Linked DNA regions of Styela clava. The protein of the gene in region 1 purifies or fractionates together with the protein of each later gene. This does not show direct contact. Links are inferred from orthologs where the notes say so. Each region holds a gene or a part of one and is shown in the gene's direction. Other genes may lie near its edges.

Region 1 (7,305 bases):
ATCTTTGCAAGCAGAGGTGCACTTGCAGACATTGCTCCTGTGTATTAGAAAATAGTAGTTAAATTGGAAAAAAAAAATCTTGATTGAGTTATTTTTTAAATGGCTCGGAGACGGGTGTAAATTCTCACCAATCATGCATACAAGTATGGGTGTATGTTCACTAAACGACGTAAGTACTCCTATTTGGCATGGCCTGACCATTTTTAAATAGGTTATTCCTAACCCCCACCTGGCTCTGTCATCCAAAGATTATGTCACTATGACCTCACAATCATGTCAAAGAGCTTGCCATAGTTTAGCTACGAACGCACCAACGATAACAAACTCCCTAACATAAGGATAACAAACACCAGCGATCTCTCCCATATCGGGAACGTTACAAGGAAATGAAAGAAATAACTTGCTCAATTTCGGGTGATCGTTTGAGCGTCTCGGATGACAGTTAGTATAGTTTGGAAGGCCGTAGTAGTGACATAATTTTTGAATGACATAGTCAGGTGGGGGTTAGAAACAACATATGGTGTCAATAATTTCCATTTATGAGCACTCAAGAAATTCTTCTTAAAAATCCTTTAAATCTTCCATATTAACAATACAAGTCTACCTAGCTATCAGTACCTTTAATTAAATGTGGATATTTAAGTTTCATCCACAATGAAAGAGATCCAGGATAAGATCCACCGAATGTTATCCAAGTCTTCAAGCCTGATGTTACAGTTTTATTTGTGATAAATCTTGCTATGTCAGCGAGGGCTTGTTCACTTGATAAAAATTGAAGATTCTCAACAGATGTGTCATTAGTAGGATGACTTTCCCCATAAAATCTATAAATAAAATTTATATATGAAATGAAATTATAAATGTTGGCCAGCTTGTACTTCATTTTAAATCTAAAGCAGTTATTTTAGATGAGAATATATTGTTAAGGCAGGACTTAAACTATACAATCTGTAATCATAGAAAGGAAAACTAATTATGCCGATGATGGGTGATGGCCCCTCCGTTATTCATTAATCTATGATTGCCACAGAATATTACCTTGAAACATTACATTTCTGTTTTAATATAAATTGATAATTTTCTTTGTTAAATTAAATGAATAATGTGTGTTCGTTCACTTCATGATGGGAAATTTCAATAACAATATATAATAAATGATAGCATAATCATTTGGGGTTAAAATTTCGGGTCTCGTGTAGTTTCGTACCTAACGTACTTCTAGTGGGCGTAGCAAAACAATTTTTTGATATGTCAATCCTAACCCCCATCTGACTACGCCATCCAAAAATTACGTCACTACGACATCACAATCACGTCATAGAGCTTGACAAATAAACGTACAATCGCCCAAAATGGCATTGGCGCCGACGATAAAGAACTGACAGACATTATCGATCTCTTTCCTATCGGAATCGTTGCGACGAGAAAACAAGAGAAATAACTGTTCGATTTCGGGTGCTCGTTTGCGCCTCTTGGATAGCGAGTCGTATAGTTTGAAGGGTTCTATTACATCACTGTTGACGTAATTTTTGGATGGTGTAGTCAGGTGGGGGTTAGGATTGATACGTGAAAAAATTGTCATGCTACGTCCACTAAAAGTATGTACGAAACTACATGAGACCCAAAATTTATTGTTTTAAATTTTTTCGCTATCCTATTCATATAAAGGCTCAGTCTATATGGCGAAGATGGTGGAAATAGATCACATGCACAAGGAAGGAGGCTTGATTCTACACACCGTGAAAACCTACTTATATCTTTTTGTCCAAATCACTCACCTATGTTCTAAAATAAAACACTTAGCACCAACTTCCTTTGCAATTTCAATCCAATGTCCTTGATCCAACCATACTGGACCTGCGGGTCCTTCTCCACCAATTTGTAAAAAAGCAGGTCCACCTGGTGTATAGTATTTATCCGATACAAAATACCTCTGGCTCCACGTTCTGTGATTCTAAAAGTATACATGGTGTCATTGGTGTGCCAGTATCAAAACTTTGTATCTTGTTAGTCAAGGACCTTATGTGTTGAACATGACTTAATTCAGGATAAAAATTGGTTCAAAAATATGTTGAAAATGTATTCAGAACATTAGGCAGGCTATTCGATCTTGACAATCACTAATATTAGTCCAGAATAAGTCGAATGGTATGAATATTCAAATGTGACTTCAGTCATAAATTTTCTTGAATAACTATTTGAGAAATTTTGGAATCAGCATATTTGGCATGTCATGAAACATTTATAAATTGTGTATCACCATGGTTTCAGTAAACCTTTGTCTAACCAATATTGAGAAAAATAGAACACAAAAAGAGTTATTCAAGTGTTGAAAGACACTCACCTCATGATCAAAATGATCAAGAGTTTGTTCGAACCATTGTTCTTCTGCAAAACCAGATGAAATGCAACAGATGAGAAGCAAAAGATGACACACCGAAAGAAACATCTTTAACATATTTATGTATTAGTGTATTCTAAGGCAGGGGTTCTCAAACTTTTGGTGTTGCGGAGCCCTTGAAAAGTTGAATATTATTCGCGGAGCCCCAAGATAAATGTTAAAATTGTTACTTTCAGATTAATATTCCTGGGCAAGTTAAAAGTACTTTACTTATTTAAAATGCTGAACCTTTTTTAATAGGATTAACACAAGCCATAAATGAATCTGAATTTTATACTAAAGCTGTAAATTTGACACTTGACGAACATATTAATAAATTAGGGGTCGAATCTTTTCTCTTTTGACATTTTTAGAAGACTTAACAGGCCGCTAATAACGTGCGCGATTTTATTTTGTTACAATCGCCGATTTTTTTCGTCAGCATGGCGTGTTTTGAACATCTTTATGCCGGTGTTTATTCTCCCTAAATCAAAAATTTCCCTCGGCATATACATGTATTGTTACACAATGACGACGTTAATTCCTTTTTTGTTCTCGTGGGAAATTATGAGTTCAATGTGAAAAACATGTTACCATATAATAGTCATCTGCGACGAAATGTTAAAAATTATAATTAATAAAGAGATAAATCCGAAACTCAAATTTCTTGATTGAAAAACGGCATTCTAAAATATTAAAACTGAAACTTAAAATGGAAGATCACACGTTTGGCTTCAGCAGACTCACCTCAGATTGAAAACGCTTTTATAGACATTGTAAATCACAAAATTTGGTGTTATGTTAGGTTTTCGTCGTAGTAACTGCGAAATCGAAACACAGTCAATTGTATGCGCGATGTACCCTTTTTTCCCATTCTGAAACTACCGACGAAGCCGCATATACCATATTTCGAGGCTGTATTGTTGTCAGATTTTATCAACGCTGTTATTGCTTCTTTCAACAGTTACAAAATTTTGGGTCAGTATTTCGCAGAGTAATCGAATAGCTCGCGGAGCCCCTGGGTTTCTCTCGCGGAGCCCTGGGGCTCCGTACGGAGCACTTTGAGAACCTATGTTCTAAGGTACCGTAAATACCAAACATAAATTCAATATTACCTCCTTGGAACTCGAATTTCTACCTATAGGCTAGTATGTACCGTAGCATCAAATAATAACAATAATTTATTTATTTAGTCTTCGATCTTACAAGTTATGGAATGCGTACCGGTAGCGCATATTATATTATTGACAGTTGCAACGTGTGGCAATAGTACGGTACCGTTAATCGAGTTGCTTGCTTTCGGATTAGGCTATACCGCAATGGAACAATGCTAATCAAATGTGAACACACGAACAACAAATAAATGAGACAACGCTTGGTCGTTGCTTGATAAAATATCCCGTTTTGGAATTTGTCACTTTGTATCCACCCTACTTTAGAGGGGATTCCCCATTCGTGGTAGCAAGTTGTGCCATGTTCTAAACACGGCCCGAATCTGTAAACCACTTTTAAAAGTCAATCCAGAATCCTAGATATCAATTTGAATAAACTACGATTTCACAAATCAATAATGTACTTTTTCGACCTGTCATAATATACTAATGTTATCATAATATTATCAGTAATAATCACGAGACGCCCTCCTTGCCGATTCTACTAGGATTTATTTTTATTTAAAGTCGAAAATTTCCACCCCAGATTCGGGATTTTAAGATACAATCCACTACTGTAGTCGAGTTGTCTCTGGTGAGTTGTCCGTGTGGTCGAGTTGTTCGCATCCCTCCACTATAGCGTTAACTACTATATATTTACGGTTAACTTCAAGACAACTGTACGATAATTGAATGCCTTAGTTGTCAGCAATTTTTTTTGTATTAATAATTTTCAAATGAACCAACCGGTCAGGTAGTCTTACCAGAGCCAGAGCTCTGGTCTTACCATTTGGTCACACATCATGCAGCGTCATGTGATCGTGTCGTACGGGAAACCCCCTATTACTTAGCCTCTGCAATTTGCAAAAGTGCAATGGTTGGGTGTCTAGGGATGTTCAATCTGGTGCGTTATTTTCATTTTTTATTCATTTGTTTGTCGTCATTGTGTTTGTGCATGGCTGTTATTCCTCGCAATGTCCTGGTAATAGTTGCAGACGATTACGGATTCGAATGTGGAGCGTATAATAACAGTGTCATATCGACTCCAAACATAGATGGATTGGCATCTCGCGGAATTTTGTACAAAAATGCATACACTGTCGTAAGCAGTTGCTCGCCCAGTAGATCAGCAATTCTTACAGGCCTTCCCCCACATCAAAATGGCATGTATGGATTGCACAATGGCTACCATAATTTTGATTCATTCAATGCAGTCAAAAGTCTTCCTCTCATACTAAAAGACTCTGGTATTCGAACTGGTATCATTGGTAAAAAGCATGTTGGCCCAGAGGAAGTTTATCCATTCGAATATGCTCAGACAGAAGAAAATAATTCAATTATGCAAGTCGGGAGAAATATTACCAGAATGAAAGAGCTAACCAGAGAGTTTTTGTCTCAGAGTAATGGTTCTTTCTTTTTATATATTGGATTCCATGATCCACATAGATGTGGGCATACGCAACCACAATATGGAGTTTTTTGTGAAAAATTTGGAAATGGTCAACCAGGAATGGGAATAATAGAAGATTGGAAACCTGATTATTATTCGCCCGATAAAGTAATTGTGCCTGGATTTGTTCAAGATACTCCAGCTGCAAGATCTGACCTGAGTGCACAATACACAACAATATCAAGACTTGATCAAGGAGTTGGACTCATTTTAAAAGAACTTGAGAATGCAGGTCATGCAGATGATACTTTGGTAATATTCACTTCTGATAACGGCATCCCATTTCCAAATGGAAGAACAAATCTCTATGAATCAGGCACTAAAGAACCCTTTATTGTTTCAAACCCACTTAAAAAGTCATCTTGGGGAACGCATAGTGATGGAGTGATTTCCACACTAGATATTACACCTACAGTGTTAAAATGGTTTGACATTTCATATCCAAGTTATAAAATATTCGGTCGTCGTGCTAGTTTAACTGGACAGTCTCTCATATTTAGTGATCCAAATATTCATGGAAGATATGTATTTGGCAGCCACTCATTGCATGAAATCACAATGTATTATCCTATGAGATCAATTAGAAATAAAAGTTGGAGGTTAATTAGAAATTTGAACTATCTTATGCCATTTCCAATTGATCAAGACTTTTATTTGTCTCCATCTTTCCAAGACCTGCTGAATCGTACTAGAGATGGAAAGGATCTTCATTGGTTCAAAACTTTGAATCAGTATTATTATCGCCCTGAATGGGAGATGTATAATTTAGATAATGACTCGCTGGAGATAAAAAATCTAGCAACTGATGAAAAATATAAAGACATTTTTCAGTCTCTTTGGATGATGCAAATGCAATGGCAAAATCAAACACATGATCCTTTCATTTGTGCACCAGGTGGAGTTTTAGAAGATGCTGGAAGTTATAAAGCTCATCCTGTGTGCATGGGACTCCAAAACAATTTGCATTGATGAATATTGTAGCATTTTTCAATTTGTTTTTGATATGCTATATATCTACAGCCACTTTTTTTTACCTCATCATGATCAGCTGTACTTGTTTCATTCTTGTTTGATCATATATCAACTTGTGTTTCTTTACATTTCAATAAATATGTCATTTAGCTGTGATTTATTTATCTCAAGTTCATATTATTTGTGTCAATCTTGTGCCCTGCATTACCAATTAATGTATGGAATGTCATGTTTGAAACCTGGTTGCTGGCAAACTTGTGATCTTTCCTCAACAACAAACAAAAAAACATTTTTATTGACCATCTGTAAATGTTATACTTTATCTTTAATGTTGGGCTGATATCATTTTTATGTATTGGGTTGCCCACTATCCCAAAGTCAGTTCCTTCAATTTCTTCTTTTGACCTTCAATTATAGAGAATGCGCTTTTTTAACCTTTAACCCTTAAAAATATGACATTGCTGTGAACCCTCAACTCCAAAAGTATTTGGTAAGCAATTTTGCAATATTGACAAACAGTTTAATCAGCATGATTTTTGTGTAGTTCTTTGTTGATCAATGTTTGCTAAGTACATACATGTTACCTTGTTTGCTTACTGGTATAGGTTGGATTGTAGCAGAGCGGATATTTAAACTTAGTCTTAATATTTAATACCTGCACTTATTCAAACTGCTAATAATCTGACCAAATCGCTAATCATAACTATGCAGTAGCAAGTTAGTTTTAAATAGATGTCATGCTTGGTCATCATGTTTTGCGTAAAAACTGGTATAATATGAAGCAATCTGTTGGAAAGCTACCTCTGTAAAAAGAGCAGCGATCTTGAATTTTTCTTGATCATTATCATGATCTGGAATAAATAGGTTGTTTACTTCTAAGTTATCTATCGTGGCTAACATCCTTATTATTCAAGTTATCATTATAAATATTGGTAGTTATTCATTTTATGGTACAATAATGGCTACAAAACCTAGAAATGTGGAGGTTTTTACTGATGATTGTTTGACAAATTATACTTACGTTTTCACACCAGACTTGCTTCAAGGCCAAGTAGCCTTCATAACTGGGGGAGGATCTGGAATTGGTTTCCGGATTGCTGAGATTTTTATGCGGCATGGATGCGATATTGCAATCGCCAGTCGGCGTCTAGAAAAAGTGGAAGAATCGGCGAAAAAATTAGAAAATGCCACTGGTAGACGTTGCTCGCTCTATCGCTCTATCTGTTGATGTCAGAAAACCAGAGGAAATTGAAAAAGCTGTGGATCATATTTTGCAACATTATGGAAAGATTAACGTTCTTGTCAATAATGCTGCTGGAAATTTTCTCTGTCCTGCTGAAGATCTTTCATAC
Region 2 (6,092 bases), on another chromosome or scaffold:
CCCGGTTGTCAAAATGACCACGCGCCGCCACTGGACCTACCGTACTATTTATTATCACAGCTTATGGCGACCCACTTAACTTTAATTTAATTTTGTTTGTTTTTTATGACATAACACAGAACACAGCAATGGCTAATCATTGCAAAACTACCGTGTTTCTTCGAAAATAGCACCTGGCCTGAAAATAAGATAATAACTTGAATTTTCAAAATAATTTTAATTAAACCCTACCCTTGAAATAAATTTAAAATGTGTGGGAGAGGAAAGGTTCATTGGCCTGAGGTAAGGTGAAGATCACACCACTATTCGAGATCGTGTGATATGGATGGATGTCGGTTTTTATATAATGTTTAGTAAAAAATCTTGTGATTTTCTACAATGTGATTTTATTTTTGATAATTGAACACAAAAGACCTCTTTCAAAAACAACCATAGTGATATTCTTCAAAAGAAAATAAATTTAAATCCTGTCTAAATTTCGGGGAAACACGGTAAGAAGTGCTGTACAGTGCACAAAACTGCTATGCGTAAAAAAGCCACATGGTCATTTTTGTGTAGCAAACTTTTGTTCCTTTGAAAAGATCGTAAAAGGAAACTTTTACAGATTAGAATTTAAATTAAATTTAATTTTTTTTTGTTATTTTGAAGATTTACGTATTCCAGTCGCCACCGATTCTAATAACCAGTATAATTATCCAAAGCTTTCTACATCTTTTCACGACCCCCTAAGATTCCTTTTGCGACTCACCAGTGGGTCGCGACCCATAGTTTGGGAACCGCTGCTCTAGCTAGATATATAACTTCAGAAATGTGATATATTTTTGTTTTATTCACTTGTATAAATTGCCTTATTCTCGAAAATGGATTGACATCTGTCAAACATAAAGTATACCTAGACTGCGAAAATTATAATTAGTCTAAAGCTCTTCTTAATCTTTTTGCAATTTGTATTACTGTTTCTTAATAATTTCCATGATTTACATCATCATGTGATATTCTTTTTTCCTGTAATTTTTAGTCTCGTTTTAGTACTTTTTGAGGAAGTTATTTATGGAGGCCGATGACTCAATACAATAGTCTTTCGCGACACCTCGTCACTTGCGAAACATTTTCGATTTAATTATATTATCTCTATTATATATTAATGTTATTTGTTTACAATGTTTCATGCAGGACAAAATAAAATATCTGAATCTTAACCGGGATTAAAACTTAGATAATTTCAGTCTCGCCCGCCCCCTTCCGATTATATTTCATGATTATAGTTTGTTCATTCTGACTGCAACGTGTAATTTAATAGTATATATTTACGCTTTAATGAAATATTGCCTAATTATATTTAGTTTTTATATATATTTTTTGCGATTTTGCAAATTTGTAAACGCCGTTAGAAAAATCCTACTATCTGCTATAAATTTTCAGAAAGTATATTAGTAAATACATATATATTCATCGCCTTGTTTCATTATTAATTTGATTGTGATCATTCTAATCTGCGGTTGTGTTGACGAAATAAAAGCAATACTACTCAGAACATATCATGACAATTCGTAGACACAAAAATACGTAGTAAAGTGCCCGATTAAATTTTGTTTTAATTCGTATTTTTGTGAACTCGACAAATTTGAGCTGTTCGTACAACACTTACGGTGCTCCAGTACTGTACGTACCAATGTGGAGGCAGTAAAGCAAAGAAAACCTAAAGGAAAATGCCCTGGTACGTATACTACAGTAGCACCCGAAATTTTGCGGTTTGCAATGTCTAAAGAGGCGTTTTTAATCGGTCGCGGACCATCATAAAAACAAAACTTAAGATGTCCTCCGTTTTATATTTTAGTTTTTTGTATTGCCGCTTTTCAATTAAGAAAAAATTTGGATTTCCACCATTGACATCTACCAGAAAAAAAATTCATTCTTCGATGTTCGAACTCGCCAGAAACACCACTTATGTATCTATCGAAGCGTGTGCAGACTCGTGTTTTTGTCGGAAATCCGCAAGATTGATTAATTAGCGACGCGGCACCTGTTACCAAATTTTGAATAGTAAATTGCTATTCTAATAGTTGAATATATGCGCAGCCCTACTCAGTAACCAGTAATTATTGACTCGATTAATGTTATGTGGATAAACTTGCTTTTTATGTTATATGTAAATTCGAACGTAAATCGTAACTTGGCTTATTAAGTTTCGAAAAAACGTTTGCGGCCCGCAGTGAATTTCTGGCTCGTTGCGGACTCTTTCAAATGCTTCGCGGATTCATTTGAGACCGCGGACCCGGGTTGGGAAACACTGTCTTAGACCGTAAATATATACTACTACTTTAGACAGTAAATAAATAATGCCAGCCTAATATTAGCTATCAGTGCCTGTAAGCGCACGTAGATTGAGGTTTTTAATAAAAAAGATAATTGTGAACATCTAAGCCATTTTGCGAGCGCCAACCCTCTAAAATCTGAATTACTCTAAAAAAAGCGTCAATTTTTCAAGGGTGAAAAATAAAAAGGAATTTTTAGGGGTCAAGGGTCGGGGTCCATTCGCGCAAAAGTTTGTTTTTGAAAAACTCACAAAGGCGGTCTTGAAAGTTTTCGCGCAACCGCGAAAGGCACTCACGCCGCTTGTCAATCAATCATTTATTTCGGTACTCTGACATAAAAACAAAACAACACAAAAACTGGACAAACAAACAAAATGCGGAGATACCTGGAAGGCGAGCATAACTTAAAATAAAGTTAAAAAACGTAAAAGTACCGGTACGCGCCCGCCCACCAAAAAAAATATTACTGTATTACTACAAGAATACAAAAAACACGATTCAGAATCGGGCAATGCTTTTTAAGGGATCTGTGGACAACTTACACAAAATATAACAAAATTTAGGTACATAAATTAAATGTAATAGAAGAGTAGTAGTTTTTGGAAGAGTAGTCTAATTGCAAAAGTCTTCGCTGGAATTTAGTAAGATTTAAAGTATTACTGCGTTTCGTTTAACCAAATCATGTTTTCTACGTTACGGTACCATATGTCATTTACAATGCATATGTTCCAATTTAGCATCTAATAATACGGTACTACTGTACCAGCAGTTTAATTTTCGGTGACGTAGTCAGTTGGGGGTTAGGATTGACATATGCAAAAATTGTTGAGCCAGGCCAACTACACTAGAAGGGGATGTGGTACTAAACTATACCAGACCCCAGTTTATCTATCTACAGATCTAGGCTACCTCGCTGCCTCATGCTTACTGGTACTTCTATGCCTCATTAAAGTGCAGAAGTGTCTTGAGTGTAGACTGACCAAATTACTGTACCTGCTAAAGTTCAGAAATTGTACTGCAATACCTGAATTCCAAACTAATAATACTGTAATATGCAAAGTGTGTGTGATTATGTGCAATACAGATCCCTGATAGCCTAAAACTGTAAAAGAATATTCATGATAGGTATTTTGCTTCACAAAACACTGAAAGACAGAACTGCAGAAAGAAGATACTGAAATACTGAAATATGCTAGATATGAGTTCAGAACAGCAGGAAGGTTCATAAAAAACTGAATAAGGCCTGCAGGCCTTATTTTGCTTCGAAATACAGAAATACTAAAAAATCAACAATGGAATAATATGAATGGCTGGATAATACTGAATGATGTTTACGAATATATTTGTTTATTATATGTAACTATGTTCTATGATTATTATTTTTTCATCATTTATTTATTTTAACAAAACTGTTATGAATCCACAACGTGGACCTTTAAAAAAAAAAAAAAAAAAAAAAAAATCACTCATGTCTGGTTACAGTAGCTAAACTCTGTTAATCAGTTAAATAACACAGAACTTAAAAATTACAGCAAGTGCAGTACCTAACCTACCGCAGTCTGGAAGTAGTGTCGATCCATATCGCAGTATTGTTACATGACAATAATAGACAGATAGAGGTAGATTCTATGTAACAAAGTATTCATTCATGTACAGTACACATCCAGACATCATTTCTGAGTTTATAATAAGAAACAATATAACATTTATAACTACAATATGTAAAAAATTCGATAATGTATTAGTTATGTTTAGCATAATTTTGCTATCTTTTGTGCGCGCTTAGCAATTCGCCGCACTGCATGTCATTTTCAATATAAGTTAATTGTGTCATATACCCGTATATATTTTCAGAATTTGTTGCTGTAGTATTTAATATTTTACTATATTCTAATATTACTGTAGCAATTTGTTATAAGTGAACAATCTATTATGTTATTAAAATTGGTTTTGTTCATCTTGATCTTATGCACCTATGATATTTCTTGTGAAGAAAATGCAGAACGAAACCAAATGAACGATGCAAATGGGGACAAAAATAAAGATAAGAGTTGTGGCTGTGATAAGCTTAGTAGGAAAAAGGATGATCAAGATGCAGAAGTTGATGATGTTGTAATAGAAACTGAAGGTGAACCTGAGATCACACACCTTAAGGTCGGTGAAAAATTCTCTGCCAAAATGGTATTAATTCCAGCAGGCCCCTTCAAAATGGGTACAGACAATTCACCCGTACCACCTGCTGATGGAGAAGGTCCATTACGAACAGTCACGTTGGATGACTATTATATTGATGAAACTGAGGTTAGCAATGAACAATTTGAGCAATTTGTTGATGAAACTGGGCTTATCACAGAAGCCGAAAAGTTTGGGAATTCATTTGTACTTGAAAATTTCATCAGTGAAAAAACGAAAAAAGATATAAGTCAAGCCGTTGCCCAAGCTCCTTGGTGGCTACCTGTGGATAAAGCATCGTGGCGCTATCCTGAAGGTTTGGATAGTGACATTAGGAAACGAATGGATCATCCCGTTGTTCATGTATCATGGAATGATGCGACAGCTTATTGCAAATGGGCTGAAAAGAGGCTTCCAACGGAGGCAGAATGGGAGAAGGCGGCAAGAGGGGGGCTGAAAGATAGACTTTTTCCTTGGGGCAATAAACCCAATCCTAAAGACCAACACAGGATGAATATTTGGCAAGGCGAATTTCCTAAAACAAATACTGAAGAAGATGGATATTCATCCACAGCACCTGTTTTAACATATGAGCCAAATAAATATCAACTTTATAATATGGTTGGAAATGTATGGGAATGGGTGCAAGACTGGTGGACAATTGATCATAGTGCAAACCCAGTTGAAAATCCAAGTGGCCCGAAAACTGGTACTGATAAAGTAAAGAAAGGAGGCTCGTACTTGTGCCATAAAGATTATTGTTATAGATATAGATGTGCTGCACGAAGCCAAAATACACCAGATAGTTCAGCTTCAAATTTAGGATTTCGGTGTGCTGCTGACAAACTCCCTAAATATTTACAGCCAGAGGAAATATCTAAGCATACTGAACTATAAATATTTTTGAACATTCAAATAAATTTTTTTTTCATAATTTAGTGCCAAGGTATTGATTTCTATGACATTGTGCAATGTGCAATATCTATGAGTTTGTTAATTCAATTTTAAATAAGAATATCAGACGAAAGTAAACGTAGTAATCCTATTTGATCTGCTGTTTGCTGGTTTACTAGCATAATTTGGTGATAATATGTCTTGGGTTGTGTTGAGAGTGTAATCATTTAATTAAACACATTATTGTATTCGGATAAAAATTATGGTTTTTCAATCAATTCATTATAATGAGGAATGGAATATGCTAACAATAACAGTGCACAAGATCTATCATTGCATCGCCAATACACAAATTTTTCTGAATGCAATTGATGACAAATTATTCAGATATGTTTGAGAAGTCAATAGTCAAACTGGAGATGCATTTTGCTTAAAATTTTATAGCATAACATGACAAAATCTATGCATAGAAGAATACCATGTTGCAGTTTTTTTGAAATTTTCATTCGAAAGCATAATTGATTATTCTTTTAATTGATATTAAATATATTGCAGCAATAACATGGCAAAAAGTAGATTTGAATATGTTAAGCACTTTGAAATACTGGATGAGTGTTTGAGAAACTGTTGGATTGTTGTCCGAGTTGATGGAAAGAACTTTCATAAGTTTTCTGTTGCACATAACTTTAAGAAGCCTAATGATGATAATGC

The links.
Region 2: the proteins of N-sulfoglucosamine sulfohydrolase-like (region 1) and formylglycine-generating enzyme-like purify together in Homo sapiens (co-immunoprecipitation; 3 studies listed by BioGRID and IntAct, with this or other methods). This does not show direct contact. The link is inferred for Styela clava from reciprocal best matches to the Homo sapiens genes SGSH and SUMF1.

What each region holds. Positions count from the first base shown.
Region 1 is NC_135252.1:7,180,841-7,188,145, reverse strand, and holds N-sulfoglucosamine sulfohydrolase-like, read left to right. Parts: upstream 1-4,169; 5' UTR 4,170-4,405; coding exon 4,406-5,950; 3' UTR 5,951-6,541; downstream 6,542-7,305. Other genes in the region: putative serine protease K12H4.7, read right to left, coding at 1-37, 619-824, 1,779-1,954, 2,345-2,458. UniProt on the Homo sapiens protein: Catalyzes a step in lysosomal heparan sulfate degradation.
Region 2 is NC_135251.1:23,323,242-23,329,333, forward strand, and holds formylglycine-generating enzyme-like, read left to right. Parts: upstream 1-4,155; 5' UTR 4,156-4,247; coding exon 4,248-5,384; downstream 5,385-6,092. Other genes in the region: putative tRNA(His) guanylyltransferase, read left to right, coding at 5,944-6,092.